Linked DNA regions of Danio rerio. The protein of the gene in region 1 purifies or fractionates together with the protein of each later gene. This does not show direct contact. Links are inferred from orthologs where the notes say so. Each region holds a gene or a part of one and is shown in the gene's direction. Other genes may lie near its edges.

The links.
Region 2: the proteins of hsp90b1 (region 1) and os9 purify together in Homo sapiens (affinity purification with mass spectrometry; 6 studies listed by BioGRID and IntAct, with this or other methods). This does not show direct contact. The link is inferred for Danio rerio from reciprocal best matches to the Homo sapiens genes HSP90B1 and OS9.

Annotation. Positions count from the first base shown.
Region 1 is NC_133179.1:10,397,944-10,407,621, forward strand, and holds hsp90b1 (endoplasmin precursor), read left to right. Parts: upstream 1-1,094; 5' UTR 1,095-1,177; coding exon 1,178-1,226; intron 1,227-2,027; coding exon 2,028-2,130; intron 2,131-2,487; coding exon 2,488-2,629; intron 2,630-2,714; coding exon 2,715-2,831; exon of another isoform or gene 2,832-3,296; coding exon 3,297-3,628; coding exon of another isoform or gene 3,629-3,653; intron 3,654-4,213; coding exon 4,214-4,325; intron 4,326-4,407; coding exon 4,408-4,527; intron 4,528-4,614; coding exon 4,615-4,731; intron 4,732-4,822; coding exon 4,823-4,960; intron 4,961-5,039; coding exon 5,040-5,117; intron 5,118-5,853; coding exon 5,854-5,919; intron 5,920-6,033; coding exon 6,034-6,303; intron 6,304-6,398; coding exon 6,399-6,644; intron 6,645-6,721; coding exon 6,722-6,858; intron 6,859-7,472; coding exon 7,473-7,551; intron 7,552-7,635; coding exon 7,636-7,791; intron 7,792-7,961; coding exon 7,962-8,054; intron 8,055-8,140; coding exon 8,141-8,167; 3' UTR 8,168-8,422; downstream 8,423-9,678. Other genes in the region: glt8d2 (glycosyltransferase 8 domain-containing protein 2), read right to left, coding at 1-372.
Region 2 is NC_133181.1:41,761,722-41,773,250, reverse strand, and holds the start of os9 (protein OS-9), read left to right. Parts: upstream 1-4,821; 5' UTR 4,822-4,851; coding exon 4,852-5,001; exon of another isoform or gene 5,002-5,374; coding exon 5,375-5,551; exon of another isoform or gene 5,552-5,575; intron 5,576-7,458; coding exon 7,459-7,522; intron 7,523-7,742; coding exon 7,743-7,819; intron 7,820-8,012; coding exon 8,013-8,111; intron 8,112-8,759; coding exon 8,760-8,961; intron 8,962-9,989; coding exon 9,990-10,151; intron 10,152-11,529. UniProt on the Homo sapiens protein: Lectin component of the HRD1 complex, which functions in endoplasmic reticulum (ER) quality control and ER-associated degradation (ERAD).

The DNA of each region.
Region 1 (9,678 bases):
ATCATCATCATCATCATCTTCAGTATCCTGTGGTGTGTAGTCTTTAAAATAAAAGAAGCAGAGTCTATGGTTGTCAATGAAGGCTGCTTTGGTGATCTCCAGCTCTGTCAGGCTACATGTGCGATACTCATCCTCCAAAACCCAAGGGTAACCAGAACTTGCAGCAATATTTAGCTTTCTAACAACTTCAGATGAAGAACATGATTCGATATCAGGAAGACACTGTCCATAGCTGTGTCCAAGCAGACAAATGAAAAATGATGAGCGGTCTACGAGATCCAAACTGATTTTCAGCTGCTGGTCAAAGAGATCAGAGTCATTTTTATGATTATTTGCATCATCCCTGTCTTGTTTGCTCCTCTGCAAGTCCATAGGTCTGAAACAGGTTCCTCTTGTCTGACAAAGTGCATCTAGATGAGAAAATATATTGTATTTCAGGTAAAACAAATCTTCTTGGAGATCATCTGGAACATAACATAGGTAAGGCTGAAGAGACGGGCTGTCAACCTCTCCTTGGATGTTTAATCCATGCATTTTTTTCCAGAACTATTTTGAACTATTATTAACTAGATACTAGTTTCAGAAGTATTTATAGTTACATTAAACAACACAAATGCAAAAACACAAGTTAAATAAACAATAAAACATTATATTTATTCAACTACCAAACGTTTTAGGTTAAAAACTTGTCTTTGAAGTCTTTGAAGTGGTCAACAACTGGTTGCTAAGGTAAACGTAACTTAAATCTGATTCTGAATCGCCTAGTTACGTTTCCTCCCCATTCTGTTTAAAGCTGAAAACAAACCCACAACCGTTCCCAGAACAGTTTTACAGTCTATGACGAATCCTCATGTAAAACTCGCTCGATGAATTGACATCCCGTGAAGCCAATCAGCGCGAGCCACGAATAGAGCGTGTAGGATCGGACATGTAAGACGCTGATTGGGCGACGCCGACTGCGGATCGCTCTCTGGTTGGTGCGGTGTTGTGCGTGGGGTGCAGTGAATGGCTGAAAGCAGCAGAGCACCGCCCTAGAGCGCATGAGTTAATAAAGCCGACTTCTCTCTCCCTGTCCACGCACTGAAACACTTCATCGAGGCGTGGAGGGCTCTGCAAAAGCTCAAGGCGTTAATCTGCTATTGAGTCTCATTAATAAACCGTTTTTCTTTCAAAAACAATGAGGCGGCTGTGGATTATCGGTCTCCTCTGTGCACTTTTGGCGTTCGGTGAGTAGATTTTAATAAACGGCCGTGAAATGCGCCGATTTGCATTATATTTGATGGCTTTGAACTTGACAGTGTTTGCTGTACTGTTGCCTTCTTTGTGCGGTTCCTCTTTTTGCCATGTATGCTTTAAAATTCGAAATAAACGTTTAAACAATGCTTCTTGTATAGCCATGCTAACGATTCCTAAATTTTGGAATGGTTTCGAACGGGAAATAAAACATGGAGAGTGAATTTGACTTGCATGTGCTTCTGGAAGTTTCCTTATTGAATTGGCCCTCTTATTATTATTATATGCTGCTTATCAATAATAGCTATATTGCGACAGGTTGAATTAAATCATTTGATCTTGTATTTAATGAAATATACGATTAATTAGTTACATAATATTGTTTGAGAACAATGCAATCTAATTTCACGTTCAAAGGAACCCAACCTGATATTTTGAAACATGTTTAATTGTCACATGATTTAACTCGTAATTTTAAAAACATCATCTGCACTGGAGTCCAAAGCATTTCTGTACACTTCATACGTGTGTGTATATATGGAAGGCCTTTTATCAAATTTGACTTCACAATATAAACTTGCATATCAAGTAGAAGCAACCTTGTTGTGCATAATGGGGTTTTTGCCAAGCAAACCAGCTTAGAAACTAAGTCCTCAAACATTCATTCAAATAAAATTATGCCAAAGTGCAGCATTTATTTTACTATTAGTTACTGGGTTAATTAAAAGTGCTTATCAACTCGCACCCTTTATTTGTGGTTTTGTCCTAATCTTTGATATTTTGCATAATTACAGCATCTGTAAAAGCTGATGATGATGTTGACATTGATGGCACAGTAGAAGAGGACCTTGGGAAGAGCAGAGACGGATCCCGCACCGATGACGAGGTTGTTCAGAGGTTTGTATGCACTTGAACTTCATTCGTTTTAAAGATCAAGGAGCAATAATTTTAATTATCCAAAATTAGTGACCTTTATTTAGGCTCAGATCTTGAAGTGGGGGTAAATGAATCCTTTAAGCTAATCTTAGCTGCTATTTTAAGCTTAATAAACCTCACTTGATTTCTTATGAGGGTACATTTGGATGTAGTCACTAAAAGCTCCTCATAAAGGCCAGAAATGATCCCCAGTGGGGCTAGACATCTGGTTTATCTGTTTATGCATCTTATCAAAACCCAGGAGTAAATGGCAAATCCCAAGAGTATGGAATATGTGAAGCATCCCTTGCACTCATGTTTCTATCTCATCTCTAACAGGGAGGAGGAGGCCATTCAGCTAGATGGTTTAAACACCTCACAATTAAAGGAAATTCGTGATAAAGCAGAAAAGCATGCGTTCCAGGCAGAAGTGAATCGAATGATGAAACTGATCATCAATTCTCTATATAAGAACAAAGAGGTGAGTGTTAGAAGTTTAAAGTTATAGTTCATGTCTTTGCAAATTTTGCATAAGGTGTCCTAATTTTTACTTTTCCATCCTAAAGATCTTCCTGAGAGAGCTGATCTCTAATGCTTCCGATGCCTTGGATAAGATCCGGCTGCTGTCTCTGACCAATGAAGATGCCCTTGCCGGAAATGAAGAGCTCACTATTAAAATTAAGGTGCGTGTTGCCACCCTTCTGATCTGAAACCCTCTCCGTTTTACAGAGAAATATAACATTGGGTCTGAATTTGCATTGCAAAAGAAATTCAAATGCGCTTGAAGCAGACTGAGAAGCGTTTCCTTTCTTCCTTTCATTTTCTTATCTTAATTGTAAGACCGAAAGCTTTTAAACATGCAAATTTTCTTTTAGTAAATACATCCTTTACCTGCTTTTGAGATTACGCAATACTGGTCACGTATGCACTGCACATACTTGTTAGTGTGCTTTTTCTTAAAAATGAATAGGCAAAATATTGTGATCGGTCTCCTGACTAATTTTTAAGTACATAAACTGGATTGCTTATGGCTAATAATTCTTAAAAAGCATCAATTGTACGAAGAGAACATGGTAATGATTTTAAAAGAGCAATCAAAAAGAGCTCTTCTAAAATTCACTGCATGTGTGTGACTCTTCTCTCATCAGTCTGACAAAGAGAAGAATATGCTTCACATCACTGACACTGGTATTGGCATGACCAAAGAAGAACTGGTGAAGAACCTTGGTACCATCGCCAAATCTGGAACCAGCGAGTTCCTGAACAAAATGACAGAGGTGCAGGACGACAGTCAGTCCACCTCTGAGCTGATTGGTCAGTTCGGTGTGGGCTTCTACTCCGCTTTCCTTGTGGCCGATAAGGTCATTGTCACTTCCAAGCACAACAACGACACCCAGCACATGTGGGAATCTGATTCCAATCAGTTCTCTGTCATCGAGGACCCACGTGGAGACACTCTAGGCAGAGGCACCACCATCACGTAAGCAGTTGAATGTGAAACGGGGCTGTATAATATTGGGGGAAAAATTAGATAGTGTTAAGTGTGATTATAACCAGTTGAAATAAGTAGCTCTAATTGGAAAATTCATAATTATTGACCGATTAGGATAATTTTATAGAGAAGTGAATCTACATTACATATAAAGCCAATCACAAGCATTGATGAATATAATAGAGCAAAGTTACAAATAAAAACACGCAGTGCTTTATGGTTTTCTCTGGGTTTTGTGTATATAAATACATTTAATTTTTTATTAACAAAAAAAATTTACTTTTTGGATGCTTTTTATGGTTAATTTGCAGTGACTTAAGAAATCATGTGTTTTAAACTGGATCCTGGTCAACTATACTCATGATCTTGCGATGCAACTAATAATAATGGTCATGTGTTTTGACCATTGTGATATTAAAGCTGTAACAATATATTTTACAGCCTTAATGTACAATATTGTAAAAAAAAATGGATTGCAACATTAAGATGACTTGTTTCTAAGCCTTAATGTAAAATATTATAAAAACAAAAAAATAGATTGCAACACTGTTAATAAGGTGACTTGTTTGTTAGGTTGGTGATGAAAGAGGAAGCTTCTGACTACCTTGAGCTGGAGACCATTAAGAACCTGGTGAAGAAATACTCCCAATTCATCAACTTCCCCATCTACGTATGGAGCAGCAAGGTCTGTTCACAAAAGACCCCAGACACTATAACATAACCAGATGTTGGACTTCTTAAACTCACTGATTTGTGTCATTTCCCAGACCGAGACCGTAGAAGAGCCTATTGAGGATGAGGCTGAGGCAGAGAAGGAAGAAGCCACTGAAGATGAAGCTGAAGTTGAGGAAGAGGAGGAAGACAAGGACAAACCAAAGACTAAGAAGGTTTTTAGATGGAGATATTCAACCCAACATTAGAAGTTATCCTATACTTTTTTTCCAGTGAATTTTAATTAATATTTGTTGTTTTAGGTGGAGAAGACTGTGTGGGATTGGGAGCTGATGAATGACATTAAACCCATCTGGCAGAGACCTGCAAAGGAAGTGGAGGAAGATGAATATACAGCCTTCTATAAAACTTTCTCCAGGGTGAGTAAAACCGGTGTGTGGCACAAATGGTTAGCTTTTTATGGTCCACTGCGACCTCTGGATCAGTTCAATTGGATCGTTGTCATTTCAGGACACTGATGAGCCACTGTCACACATTCACTTCACCGCTGAAGGCGAAGTCACTTTCAAGTCCATCCTCTTTGTTCCTGCATCTGCACCCAGAGGTCTTTTTGACGAGTATGGCACCAAGAAGAATGACTTCATTAAGGTAATTTGTGAACATTAAGTGAGAAATGGGAACTTGTTTTTGGTACGAGTTGCTAATTAGACTTGTTTGTTTCATTTAGCTGTTCGTGCGTAGAGTCTTCATCACTGATGACTTCCATGACATGATGCCCAAGTACCTCAACTTCATCAAGGGTGTTGTAAGTGCCTGTCTTTCAGTTTAGCATTTCATTGGGCAATGCATAATGCTAAATGTTCCATTTAGCCTGTGTATTGGCTTAAAAGTTGGCCCACATGGAATCTGTGTGCGTAGAACTCCGCAGATTTTTAGCCCATCGAGTCCATTTATGTACTTGTGTATATGTATAATCATTCAGGTTTTTAATTAATTTCAGTAATATTGACTAATATATGTGTTTGTTTTATTCACAATAGTTTGTAAAGTAATATTCTGTCTTTTAGTAGAGATATTATGAGAGACTTTAACCAAACAAGTAGATCTAGATGGATTTGCATTGTAAACATTAAATAAACGTTAACTGTTTCATTTCATGTATTAAGTTTTTTAGGTTTGATACTCCCAAAGTTATTTCCCATACATTTTTTTTTTTTTTTTTACAAAATTCTTAGCAGAAATGGCAAAACTGTCCGCTGATTCTGTCTGGCCCTACTTAAGTAAAGATCACTTCTATTTCAGCGGATTTCATGCGTTGCATTTTAATAATACTACAAGCTATAATTGTATATAAATACTATAACAAGTGGACTAAATGGCATTTTCTCGCTATATATGGGATTTTTGTTTTTAAAATAAATTTTATGCTTAAGAGTTAAGATATTCCTAACAAAAGCGGGTGGTGTAATGAAAAAAAAAAAGCTGTATAAAATCTAAATCTTTAATTTGTTTTTGATTCATCTTGCTTAATTTGATCTTAGGTGGACTCTGACGATCTGCCTCTGAACGTGTCCAGAGAGACTCTGCAGCAACACAAACTGCTCAAGGTGAGTTTATACGTTTGCTTATCGAAGCAACATTAACTATGTAAAACGCAATGCAATACAACATGCAAATTTAAATAACTTTCAAAACTCATGACTGCCCATTTTGTTCTTCAGGTTATCCGTAAAAAGCTGGTGCGCAAGACCCTGGATATGATCAAGAAGATCGCTGAGGAGCAGTACAACGATAAGTTCTGGAAAGAGTTTGGCACCAACATTAAGCTGGGCGTGATTGAGGATCACTCCAACAGAACCCGCCTGGCCAAACTGCTCCGCTTCCAGACCTCCCACAGCGACACCGTGCTGTCCAGTCTGGAGCAGTATGTGGAGAGGATGAAGGAGAAGCAGGACAAGATCTACTTCATGGCTGGAACAAGCAGGAAGGAGGTGCTTAAATGGTTTTTAAATCTCACCCATACTTGCTTAAGAACTCTTTCTGTATTCCAGTAGCAGCATGTAACATTTTGTCTTCTGGTTTTTAGGCTGAATCATCTCCATTTGTGGAGAAGCTTCTTAAGAAAGGATATGAAGTGGTCTATCTGACTGAACCAGTGGATGAGTACTGCATTCAGGCCCTTCCTGAGTTTGATGGCAAACGCTTCCAGAACGTGGCGAAGGAGGGTGTGAAGTTCGACGAGAGCGATAAGGCCAAGGAAAAGAGGGAAGCTTTGGAGAAAGAGTTTGAGCCCCTTACTACCTGGATGAAAGATAAGGCCCTGAAGGAACAAGTATGATTATTTTGTCATTACATCGTAGTGCATATTATAAAGTGGCAGATGAATAGTAAGATGTGCTTCTGTTTCAGATCGAGAAGGCTGTTTTGTCCCAAAGGTTGACAAACTCTCCATGTGCTCTGGTTGCCAGTCAGTATGGATGGTCTGGAAACATGGAACGTATCATGAAAGCTCAGGCTTACCAGACAGGAAAAGACATTTCCACAAAGTACGTCTTTTGAACAAGTATTAGACCCTCTTCCTAACTAAAATTTAATATGCATGGTCAAATCAAAAGGAGTCACCCAAGACTCATTAACATTTTCAACTCGTGTACAAATAGGGTTCTCGTGACCCCCTTCTGTTTAGACTGCAAGCAAAGGAAAAATTCAGATGATGGCCATGATTGAGCAATCTTTTTTTTTTTTTTTTTTTTTTAACAATTGTATAATTATGTACATGTAAAAATTGTTTTGGTGCACATTTTCACAACACATCCCATTACAGTAGGCGTTTTGTGGGTGATGTGTGAATTGTCCAATAAATTCATGCAATCGTAAATGTTACTACACCTATTATGTGCTTTCAAACGTGGAAAACTGGAAATGCAAGCTTGTGAACAGCACTTTAAATTTAGCCGCATTTCCCTTGTTAAAGTTATGCATTTGTTAAAACAATGAAGTAAATATTGCAGAAACGGGGCATTGAAATAAAGTGGGGAGTTGATTGCATTCTGCTACATTTTGGATATTTTATATTGAATGTAACATGTTATGTGAAAATTGAAAAATCTGTAACCACTATGACCATTTATCCTAATTAAACCCATATTGTTCATTCTAGTTATTATGCAAGCCAAAAGAAGACATTAGAAATCAACCCCAAACATCCACTCATCAAAGAGATGCTAAGGAGAGTCAACGTAAGTCAAGCGTTCTCATTTAGCCTAGCAAATTGTGCCTTCAATCTTATTTCAAATGAATATATTGTGCATTTTGTGTTGTAGGAAGACGCTGAGGATAAGACGGCCGCAGATTTAGCCGTAGTGCTGTTTGAGACCGCCACACTGCGATCAGGATACCAGCTCCAAGACACCAAAGCCTACGGAGAAAGAATAGAGCGCATGCTGCGGCTCAGCATGAATGTAGACCTTGACGCTCAGGTATGGATGTTCAAATCAAGCATCAGATTATTCTGAAGGTCTGCTTGTGAAGATCTCTGCTTTATGTAATAAGTCTATCTCCTGGTATCGGAAACATTCAGACTGAGCTTGATTTTATTAATGGAACTCCCAGAACCAGGACACTTAGAATCCTGTTGTTGCATCTACAGGTAGAGGAAGAGCCAGAGGAGGAACCAGAAGAACAGACAGAGGAAGCTGAGGATGAGGAGGAGGTCCAGGCAGATGAAGCAGAAGAGGAATCAGTGAGTGCCCTTCCAAACAAAAGTCTCTTTAGGAGCTGGAATTCTGGTCTTCATATATCTGAATATGTATGTTCTCTGCGTTTCAGGAGGCCACATCCAAAGATGAGCTGTAATGTGTAAATTTGGAAGGGATGGGAAGGGGTGTCTGACTGTGATGCAGAGTGAAGATGGCGACGTCAACGCGGTTGTCTTTTCTCTGTGCGGGTGGGCTTGGGGGATAGGAGCTGTTTTTTTTAAAGCGCTGCTTTTGTGTTTGCAATTTCTTTTTTTACATTCCTCCATGATTGTAAATTTGTTAATATTTAACTGACCCAGTTGTGGAGTGCTGACTCCTGTCCACAGAACGATTAAATGTTTCCGGAAAAGGATTTTTGTGTGCAATTTCTTAATTTGCGTCATGTTAACCAGTTCTATTAAATAACATTTTAGGATATTTTAGCAGCATCAATAGTGCTTTGATTAAAGTCCAGTTTGAATTTAAAGGGATAGTTCACACAGTTTACTCAATTTTTACACTTGTGCTTCAAAAGCTGTCTTCTGTTGCACACAAGAATATTTTAAAGAGCTGAACCTGTAACCATTAACTTCCATAGTATCTGTTTGTAATGTGCAAGTCACTGGTTACAGGTGGGAACATTTTTTTTCTAAATATCATCTTGTTTTAAGGAAACTCTCTAGATTGAAACTCAAAGGATGAGTAACTTGACTCTTTGGTGATCTGTCCCTTTAAGGATTTTTCAGTCTAGGTCGTACCAGCGTGAATTTTCCTGTGGGGTCTGGGATATACCACTTTTCCCAGAGGTCTAGATGGACGCAGGGGTAGTCCCAGGGTTTGAATTGGCCGTTCCAGTGTAGTAGCTTTGCCTTTTTGAGGAATGTCTTGGGATACCGTGTATCAGGACTCCAGCCTAAAGAAAACCCAAGCAGATGTTTCCTTTAATTCAACTGGCAGATGCTTTTATTCAAAGCTCACAAATGAGGTCTGAGAACTTTAACCTGTAGTTAAGTTTACAAGATTTACAAAATTTCTGAATAAAGGAGAAAAGAATTTCAGCAGACTAATAGGTAGATGGACCTTCATTTAAATTTCAACGTTAAGAATGACAGTGACTGTTAAATATTTCAGCATCAGTACTTGTCTAGTATATTTCAGAAATTATTCTAATATGCTGATTTGCTGGTTTTTTTTTTTTTTTTTTTTTTTTTTTTTTGTGCTGCAAAATGGCACATTTCAGAATTGAATAGACTAATGACAGAAATAATTTGAACCACATGATTAGTTACAGACATTATAAAGGTTTATACTATAAATTTTTTATAAATTGAATGCTTTGTTAAATGGGGGTTTTTAATTTCAAAATTTAATTTACAATAATGGTGTATATAATAAAATATTGAAGTACTCTCAACTTTAAAAATGTGCATCCAAATAAAGGTTATATGTTAAACTTTTTAAATTTAATTAATTTAAATGTAGTTTATGTAGCATAATATTTATCAGATTAACTTGTACAACATTAATTGGAGTTGGGTTTTTTTGTGAGATGTAGCATTCATTAAAAACAATTCATTACCCAGATGTCTGATGTGCCACAGTGGATCAATGGTTGTGAATTTATCATGA
Region 2 (11,529 bases), on another chromosome or scaffold:
ACGTCCATCCACTGCTATAGAGATAAATCCAAGGGCAGCCCTGTTGAGTGTGCTTAATAGCCAAACGAATGCGGCTTCCCTTCTGATATACTAATGAGGTGTAGTCTAGGCTCCAGCAGGCCAGTGTGCGGTGATTCCCAGCCCGATGTAAACTATCACACACAGGCCGCGGCGCTGTCTGAGACACAATATAGTAATTTAGAGTGCATCATAACGAGCAAATTCCGCAGTTTAAAGCCCACCCTGCCGTCTGTACAGCAATACACAGAGGTACCGATAGCCCCTCGGCCTGTTGTTGCCATATGTCACATCATCCACAGCAGAATTCCGTTAGGCAATCAAGAACCGCAATCCTGTTACAAATATAGCCTATATTGGAATCTGAATCACGTCCATTGCAAACACCAGAAGCTGAGAGACGATCAATTCATTAAGCGGTGCTTATTTCAGTGCATGCACTTAATCGTGGAGCAGAAACAAACAAATGTGACTGAGAAAATGATATCGGTGCTAATCACATCAGGGCGGATGAGCGAGCGATCGCGTTCAAATAAATCTTACCTGTAATGTCGCCACCAAGAGGGATCTCCTACCCTTAAAACACCCCCGGCGGGCTTGTCATGTGAACGCAAACAGCTGATAAATGAAGAAAATCTGATGGCATGGCATCCACCTCTGAGACGGAATGGAGGAGATGGGAGAGGAGTCGGGCAACCCCCTCTGTGAATAACGATGGAGGGCTGCAGCGCGGAGAAATGCGCGCATATGAGGGAGAGACGGAGAGGAGGAGAGAATGATGCAGCTTCACACGCGCTCGCGCTCACGCCTTGGCGCTCCGAGAAGTGGCTTGGATGGATCATAAACCCCTAATGAACTAATCTGAGTTTAATTCTTAAAGAATAAAAACAAACATTCCTTGTCTTTAAAAATGTTGCGTTTTTTTTTCGTTACCCATTTTGTCACTATGCTGTTATTGAGAACAACGCAGATGTTCTGGGTCTACTTGATAAGTTACTTGTTAAAATGAAACTGATATTTTCCAATAGTCACACATTTGACCTGAAACAAGATTTAGATCTTTAAAATAAAGCTTCTTTAATAGGCTACCAGTGGTTCCCGTTTGACATCCATAAGCTTTGTGTTGCACACTCTTCAATGTGTAAAAATATAGTTAAGATGATAAAAAAAAATGTCAAACATAGTTATTTGAAGAGCAAATTACTAAAAATTATTTTAGTAAACCCTAAATGTCTTCTACAGCATCACCATGAAAACTCCATTTTAGAACTATTCTTAGTGTGTAATTTACCATGAGCATTAATAATAGATCATACCCTTTTACACACATCATTAAGCAAAGGAATGATTTTTGGGATGGAATGATCTGGTCATGTGACACATGCCATAAAAAGATCAATTTCTAAACCACTTTTTTTGTAGCTGCAGGGATGCTGTTTGTCCTGAACTGAAAGTATACGCAGGGAATCAGCCTGGAGAGAAGTTCAGTGACAGTCCTGCAGGGATCTATCAAAAAAGTACATGGCATTGACAGTCTGCACTTTAAATGAACAAACTTAATTGATCCAATCAATAAGCCTTAACAAATATGTTAATTTGAAAATAATTTAATTGTTTACAAAACCTTATGTGACAGTGGTGGCACTGGCCAACTCAGATTGAAAGCACGGTCTACCCAGTCAAATAAAGAATTATGAATTCTGCTTTAAACAAAAAGTAAGACAGATCTTCAGATCTTTATCTGACTTGTCTTTATCTGACTTGCCTGATCAAGATCTCTGCATTTGGGGGCTCACCACATTCTTCTAAAACCCTGACAAAACCCATCAGTCAGCTCAAGCCACCCATGTCTTACACTGATTGCCCTATTCAAGTCTCTCAACTCTGCTAGCTCTGTTCAAGCATTCAAGACTCAGTCGACTCATGCTAAGGTCATTGCTCTGCTTGCTCTGCCAATTTGGCCTGCTCTGCCAGGTCCACTGAAGCAACTTGGTCTGTCACTTTCACCTACATTACCTTTACTTCCATTTCCAGTCAGGCTTCTTTTAGATGTTGCTTCCTGATGTCCTTCAGCAGTCCAGCTGTGCTATTTTTTTTTTTTTTTTTTTTTTTGAGATTCCTATTTCTTCAAAACAGAACTCTTCCTGGTTGATTTCTCCAGTCCTGCACAGGCTGGCTGCCCTCCTCAACTTCACTAGCTACTCTTGCATCCTTGATATTGTTTTAGATGCCACTCCTGTTCTTCCTCCTTCTATTACTGATGTCAAGTTAATGTCAAGTTAATGCTAGTCCATGCGTTCTTCTGTTGAAGTATCCTTTGTTCAATTTCCTTTGTAGGGGCATCTGGTGTATCCCATGTAAAAGTGTGGTGTCACTATTGGAAACAGATCTCTAAATAAAATTCTCAATCTATTCCACTAGAAAATCCTGATAGATCGGCTTTATATTATTATACAAAAGGCCCAGCTTACTGAGAATCAGCACACCAGATGCGAGGGCATAATGTCAAAAGCAAATCATTGTAATCAATGATGCTGTCTACAGTGGACAAAATATGCAGATACACATTCAGTTTCTGAAGTTCACACACACCCACACTTGAGCAAACATGAAAAAAATAATTTAACATAAATCAGAGAAAAATATTTGTTATTATTTTTAAGTCATAGCCAATGACATGATTGTGCAGTGGTTAGCACTGTCGCCTTACAGCAAGAAGGTCACCGGTTTAAGCCCCGGCTGGATCAGTTGGCATTTCTGTGTGGCGTTCGCATGTTCTCCCCGTGTTCACATGTGTTTCCTCCTGGTGCTCCGGTGTCCCGCACAGTCCAAAGACATGCTCCATAGGTGAATTGAATAAACTAAATTGGCCGTATTATATGCCTGTAAATGAGTGAGTATGGATGTTTTCCAGTACTGGGTTGCAGTTGGAAGGGCATCCGCTGTGTAAAACATATAAGTTAGCAGTTCATACTCCTATGGCGACCCCTGATGAATAAAGGGACCGAAGCCGAAGGAAAAAGTCATGATCAGGTTTAAAAATGACACTGATTGACACAATTGACACTGTTCTGTGAGGTTTCCTTTGGTTATTCTCAATGCCTCACTTTCATTTAGTTGTTAAATTTTCTTGCCATGATTCTAACGTCTTTAATTCACTGACGATGTATTCACAAAAAAACCTTTGTTTTTTTCAAATAAAGTTTAACATTTTAAAATTTTGCCCCAATTGTGGGCTGTATAGTATATGTAACTTATTTAACTTAGATTTCTTTACATAGCGAAAAAAAATATTATTTTCATAAGTGCTCCCTGCTGTAAAATGTAATGTACTGCCAGCAGTAAAAAAAAGAAAAAAAAACTGCACCTAGACTTTATCTCTGTATGTTTCAATTATTCCGTTTCATTATTCACTTTGAAAAAAACTGAAGAGTTCAGATGCAATATCTTCTTAATACCATCTGAATTTTGTGTAGATTCAGTAATATAACGTTTATGGCAAAGGATAGGCTACATCTTTTTATGGTCTTTAGCCTAAAGTGAAATATCTCAACATAAACAAAGGAGGATGAGAAAAATGTTTTGCATCTGGACAACTTCAACTTCAACTGCTAATGAATAACCTAAACATGCCATCTTTCGGATGAGACGTTAAAACGAGATCCTGACTCTCTGTGGTCATTAAAAATCCCAGGATGTCCTTCAAAAAAGTGTAGGGGTTAAAACCAGGTATCCTGGCCAAAACTCCCCACTGGCTTTAGTCCATCATGGCCTCCTCCCCATCATAATTGGCTTCATCATTCTGTCTCCTTTCCACCAATCAGCTGATGTTTGGTGTGCGGTTTGGACTGGAGCAATATGGCTGCCGTCGCGTCAATGGTATCTGGATGCTGCACACTGGTGGTTGATGAGGAGATTCACCCAAAAATGTGTAAAGCGATTTGAGTGTCCAAAAAAAGCGCTATATAAGCGAGGCAGTGGCGCAGTAGGTAGTGCTGTCGCCTTAAAGCAAGAAGGTCGCTGGGTCGCTGGTTTGAACCTCGGGTCAGTTGGCGTGTCTGTGTGGAGTTTGCACGTTCTCCCTGCCTTCTTGTTGGTTTCCTCCGGGTGCTCTGGTTTCCCCCACAGTCCAAAGACATGTGGTACAGGTGAATTGGGTAGGCTAAATTGTCTGTAGTGTATGAGTGTGTGGGTAAATGTCTGTGTGGATGTTTCCCAGAGATGGGTTGTGGCTGGAAGGGCATCCGCTGCGTAAAAACTTGCTGGATAAGATGGTGGTTCATTTCACTGTGGCGACCCCAGATTAATAAAGGGATAAACCGACAAGAAAATGAATGAATGTTAGTGTAATAACTTTATCATAATTAACTAATTAATCATATTTAAGTCAAGGATGTCATCTTAATATGTGGTTTGCTTATTGCTAAAATCTACATTACATTTTACTTTATCTTTATATTTCTCACTTACAGAGTGTATTTCTCACTTGTTAGATTTTGACAAAAGCACCATCTCAAACTTCAGTGTGTGTTCTCATCATTTTGACAGGCTGCGGTTCTCATGTGTTCCACAGCGGCCCCGTGAGTCTAAAACGTAACACTACATTGCTTATCATGTTCTCAGCGGGTCCAATAGAACTCATTTTCGTGGATGATGGGTGGTAATTACAACACGCTTTCCAATAAGCGCACGTTTTGAACATGACTGACGTTTTGAACATCCAATAAGGTGTCCGCTTTTAACAACGTTGTCCAATCCACGTTCCCTAGAGCGCTCTGCCATGCACCAAATAACAAATCATTTGACAACGCTTGTTTGCGATATGAGAGAACTATGGCTTCCTCCTTGATTAAGTGGTTAAGAGGATTATATGTGTTTTTCTTAACATGTCTCCTGTCTGTCTTTGCCTTTTTGAATCTAGAAGAATTAAACGAAATGAAATATGGCATACAGATTCTCCCCGATCCTGTTATCATGGGACAGGTAGGATTGTGGGATGCAGCTAGCTGGGGATGTTTGTTTGATACAAACAAACAGCTGTTAGCTTTAAGCACAGCATGGCACATTTGCCATTAACAACTACGTGTTTCGGTGTCTAATAGTCGAATATAGGATAGTAAAACAATAGCTAAATTAAAGAATGGTAAATTAGCTGTGACAGGTTATTAGCATAACGTTAGTTGGACTGTGCCTCCACAGGTATGCTACAGATTGTGCCTGATTGTAAATACAATATGACTTTAATATATATGTTGAAAATGAGCATGGTGAAGTTACATTTTTGATTGTGTTGTAAACTGTTGCACCTCTCCCTAGTTCTGCTTTTCTAATTTTGACTTTCTATTCCTGTTTTCAGATGGAAGATGTAATGTTGGTCTCTAACAAATACAAGCAGCTGTATGAGTGTCGTTTACCAGCTCAGGCAGTGCGTTTCCATCAGGACCCGGTGTCAGAGCCTGATGTGCAGGGTTACAGCGGCCCCGGGGTCCCTGAGCTCCTCAAGCCCATGCAGACGGCAGCATGTCTGATTAAGGTAGTTTCTGTCACAGTCACTCGCACACTAAATATACACAAGCTCTGAATATACTCATCCACAGGCACAGATCTAGATAGATATTAGAAGTTGTGTAGTCTGGAGTGGTGGATGAAGCACACAAATTAAAAATAATAATAAAATATGACTCCAATAAAAGTTTGAAAGTGCTTTTGATGTAGTTTAGTCTTAAAATGAACATATTATTACTAAGTACTGGCTGCTGAATGTTTATTTTACAAGAAACATTTTTTTTGATTACTAATATTCTTTTAATGTATATTACGGTGGCAGAGAGAGCTTGATGTGCTGCAGTTTAAGAAAACAAAAGGAATTACAAAAAACCGCCAGTAAATTAAGAAAAATATCTTCATCTATTTGACAGCACACATGGTGCAAATCCCCACAACGCAAACACATTAAAAATGTGCTTCATTTTCACAAAACACAAACGATTTACGAAAACCTGCTGCATTCTCTCTCAACGCAATACATCAGAACACAATGGAAATGTTTCAGGTGGACCCATGAATGTGACAGGCGCTTCTGTGCCATGCCTATTGCTCATTGAAATTGTAGGTGATTGTTGAAAGGTGAGTTCTCTTGGTTTGTTTATTGGAACATCCTGATTCCCTTGTCTTTAGTAGTTATTATCCTAAATAGCCAAAACCTAAATATCCAGGTCTCTCATGATTTAGATCCCCTTGAAACATTTCCGTTGTGTTACGAGGCTATTTGAATGCGTTGTAAGAAAATGCAGCACATTTTATTAATTTGTTTGTGTTGTGAGAATGCAATGTTTTTTTAAAAATGTGTTTCCGTTGTGAGGATTTGCGTCACATGTGCTGTCAAACGGATGAACATCTGTTCCTAATTAATTACCATTTTTTGTAATTGCATGTGCTTTCTTAAAATTGCACCATGTTAAGCTCTCTCGGCCATTATAGTATAATGTTCTATAAAAATTATTTGATAATCATAATGCAAGTGTGCAGCCAATAATAAAATACAGCATATATTCCTGCATATTAAAACAACTATACAAAAATGGTCTAAATTCCCATTTACGCCAACAACGATAACTATTGTATAATCATGAGATATAGTTTTATAAAACTTCTGAAAAAAATTAACATATTGACAGCCAAAGCTCAAGAATTCAAAGCAGAAGCTGACAAAAACTGAAGTGCGTGTTTAAAGTAAACTCCATTAACTAGAATAAATTATATTTTAATTTACAGTTGAGTCAGTCTTAAAGCATCTTCCATTCAGACTTGAGAATTGTCCACTTCAGTTAAAAATAAATGGTTCAGTGCGATTTGCAAATTGAATATAAATAAATATAACACATTTTTTAACAAATATAAGGGTGTAAAAAGTCAAATATTATGCTTTGCAGTTAAGCAAAAGATTCCCATAATAAAATACCCCAATAAAGTGCAGGTACTTAAAGAGTCTCAAAAATAAAAATTTACTCACCCTCGTGTGGTTTCAAACAAAATAAAAACATTGTTAAGAAAGTTTGCAACCAGCAACATCTGACTTTCATGGTAAGAAAACCAAATACTATGGAAATGAATGGTTCCAGCTTTTTTCTAAATATCTTATTTTGTGTTTATCAGAAGAAAGTCAAACATGATTGGAACAAGTGAAGAGTGGGTAATTGATGACAGAATTTTCTGTTTTGTGTAAAAGTTTGTAGTAATAAAGTAAAAACTGTTCTCTCTGATCATATTCTCTCAATCAAAAATGTTGTTTTGAAAAAAAAGCACATTTGGAGTGGCTATGTAGAGTATGTGTAAATTAAGACGTAATAAATGATGTACATTTATAGTCATTTTAGGTCATGTTAAAATGATAAACTACATGTCGCTGTGATCTGAAGCTTGTTCATGTTTTGTTTGCAGACCAAAGACTGGTGGACCTATGAGTTCTGCTACGGCCAGCACATCAGACAATACCACTTAGAAGGCAGGTTAAATCTTTTATCTAATGTGTCTTGGATAAATTGAGTTTTACATGGTCTAAAAAATATATATGCACTGCCTGTATAAACATGTTTTTTATTAGTAGATGGAAAGGAATTTAGAGAATTTAGGACAGAAGCCTTTCAGGAAAATGCACTGCCTATAAATATATACTATTAAATATTTCAAGATGTTTGAAATGTGTTCCCTATATGTGATCGCAGATTCGGAGATCAAGGGAGATGTACTGTTTTTGGGATATTATGATACAGAGTTTGACTGGACGAATGAAACTGCAAAGGTAAGGTCAGGTTTGTTAATCTTGATTTGCTTGTCCTAATAAAATGTCTGTAAATGTTGTCAATTCAAATTAGGAATTCTGATACTAGCAGTAAATATTTTTTATTAACCACTTTTATGTTAACAAGTCTGTAGTTATCTTCTATATATTTTGTAGTTACAAAATTAAAATCTTGTTGATCTTTTTTTTTCAGGCATCTAAGCAGCATAAGCTGAAGAGGTATCACAGTCAGTCATATGTCAATGGCTCAAAATGTGACTTAAACGGCAGTCCCAGAGAGACGGAAGTCAGAGTAAGATACTAAGTGCCATATTCCAGACTATAGAGAAAAATAATGAAGAAAGAGTATTATTGAAGTCAGTCTAATGGCTAACAATAAACAATAAGGACACTAGTTAACTGTTGTGACTAGTCTTCTTAATTCTGCTGCTGTATGCACACACACTGTAGAATACCTTCACTATACAGATGTTGAGCTCATTAGACCTCAAGTAATGCATATATATATATATATATATATATATATATATATATATATATATATATATATATATATATATATATATATATATATATATATACATATATATACATACATATATACATACATACATACATACATACATACATACACACACACAATTTAAGGTTAGATAGATCCTTAAATGGATCAATCCTAGGTAGATCAAATTGAGGCTAGATAGATCTGTCCTTTACAACAAGCACATGCAATAATCTCAGATCTGATTCACAAACTTGTTTGAAGAACCAAATCAGCCAGAGACCAGTTATCATGATTAAAAGATCCAGGATCTGTCAGATTATCTTTGTTTAAGCGAGGTACAAAGAACGGACCCCAGTAGTTTACATCAGCAACATAGAATTGTATTTTAATCTAATGGCAATGATAATCTATATATGTATATTGTGTTTTTAACAGTTTGTGTGTGAGGAAGGCTCTACTGACTTCATTTCACGGGTGGATGAACCCCAGTCTTGCCGCTACGTCTTGACAGTCCACACCTCTCGCACGTGCCAGCATCCCCTTCTGCGCCCACCGTCCACTGCCAAACCACAAGGCATTGTGTGCCAACCTGCTCTCAGTGCCCAGCAGTACATGGACTACGTCAAGGCTCAAGTCTGTAAGTATGAGAGGTGATGATTTTTTTTACTTTACATCAAGGCACTGTAATTTAGGGATCGATTGGTGAAAATATCCAATGTTACAAATGATTTTGCTGTGATTCTGTTAACATGACATTAATTAGCTACACTTAATTTGCTGTTTATATGGTTGTCAAGAGTCTCCAAAGAATCCTTCACTTTACTGCATGACTGTGAGATGTTGAGGAGGATATATTTTGTGTTTAAAAGATGAGTTAATGCATTTAAAAATCAGTTAATAAATTTAAAAATTGTATTATTTTTTTATTATATCAATAATATATCAATTAAAATAATTAATCATGTTTTTGTATTTGTATACTGTTTAATTACTTTTTAACAGGTAAAATCAAACTGATCGAAATTAAAGATATTATTTATATATTTTATATTTTTGTTGTATGGTTTTTCTTCCGCCTTGATTGTGTTTATTAATTGTCTCTGTATTTTTTGTAATTTTGATTTTATTTATTTTAATTTATACAAAACAAAAAGTAAAATATATCTTAGGAAATTTACCAGAAAAAAAATGTATTATATTGTTTGAGTTGATGTTATTTCATCAAGTAACAGCATTAATTTTGTGCTAGTGGTTTTAACTAGCTATAACCCTGCTCACCCAGGAGAGATGACCTATATGCTGTCAAATGTTAATTACACTACTATTACAATAACAGGATATGGATTGCTATGGCAGCGCATTAAGCCCAGTCTATTGTGACTCCGTTCATTATTCAACAGTTGTTGCTTTCACCTTTTACACATACAGTGCTGTATACTTACTTGCATAGAAACCTTCAGAATCATAATCAGATATTTTTATTCACAATTTCTTTCCTTATCACTCATTACACTATTCATAAAAATGCCCTCGCTGCCAAGTTCTGTCCTATTAGATTAGATCTCCGGAGATGCAATCAGCCTACATTTAATTGTACTCTGTTCTCCAATTGATTCATTATTTTTAGCACCTAGACATCTGTCGTTGCCTCTCTCTCTGTCTCAGCTGACACCAAACGTAAAGTGGAGCAGATCTCAGAGGAGCTCAGAAACCTGGATGAAATTCTGTCCAAGGATGACAAGAACAAAGGTGTGCTGGATGACAGAACAGATGAGGAACCTGCAGTTAGCTCTGATGAGCCTCCAGTTTCCAAGGCCCAAAAAAAAGGTCAGCATTCAGACTGTGATTTGATTTCTTTATACTTGTATGACTGGGTTAGTTTTAAGGCCATCTACAACACCCTCAAAATCAGTCTTGAGTTTTTCAACCTCAATCCTGCAGTTATAGTTCAATGCACTGGGTGGTGCTGTGTAAAGGAAATATAAAACTGAGTTGGTGAGAAGTGATATATACAGGGGCGCTGCTGTTCAGTACAGGCCCTATGACAACTTTGTAGAATTGTACAACTTTGTACATGGTTACTAATAGTAACTCTAGGGCCCCCAAAACGGCGTGGGTCCTTGGAATGGTCCTAACTTTTCCCCCTAGCAGCGCCCGTGGTTATATGTTTTGTTTTCATGACCAGTTTTTAAGGAGACGCTGCTAATAAATAGTGTAAAAAATATTGGCATCACCACACTTTTTTTAGTTATTTGATTGTTTATATATGATTAAACAAGCAAATAAGGCATAATTTAAACAAATATGCACTGTTTTGCATAGATTTCTAACACAAAAATTAGAACATTGAAGGAAATCAGCTTCAGAATTCTTCTTCTTCTTCTTCTCTCTCTATTTTATTTTTACATTAGATTAATAGATTTTTACCAAGGGGATTTTGGATATGTCTTTCCATCAGATATTGTTTTGAACAGACAGACACATTAGAGTAATATATCTTTTTGTCAAGTGAGATTTGGGTATGTTTTTGTCATTAGATATTGCTGCAAACAGACAGAAAAAAATCGCATTGTTTTTTTTAGATTAGAGCACAGGGAGTCAATGGGCAAAAACAAAATTTTAGGCCTTTTTACTGTCCAATTTTAACTCCCTAATCAGGGAAAGAAAACTAAAGCAGCACATTCATTTACATGATCTTTTATTAATAGAAAATCTATTTACAAAAGTAACTGGGCCATTAGAAAAAATCCTTATAGTGTTTAGCCCTGTAGAAGTATAAAACTTCAATCTCAATGGTCTTAAAGTCTTACATTTGTCTTGGAAGTCTGCAAAAACCCTGACAATAGATTTTTACCAATTTTACAGATTTTTATGATTTTCTTCATCAAATATTACTGTGAACAGACAGAAAATGTCTTAAAATTCAAAAACAACGTTTTAGGCTTTATGAAGTCTTAAATTCACTAAAATATTGTGCTGTTGGTCTTAAATCATTTTAAAACAGTTAAATCTCCCCAATCAGTTCAATTACCATTACTCCATCTTAAAACATTTTTATTGCAAAGAGATGCAATTCACAATGACAGTTAGACGTTTTTACAGCAAATTCGCCTAATTAAATTACTTAATCAGGGGGAAAAACGAAAGCAACACATCCATTTACATGACCTTTTGTTAATGGAAAAACTATTTACAGAAGTAACTG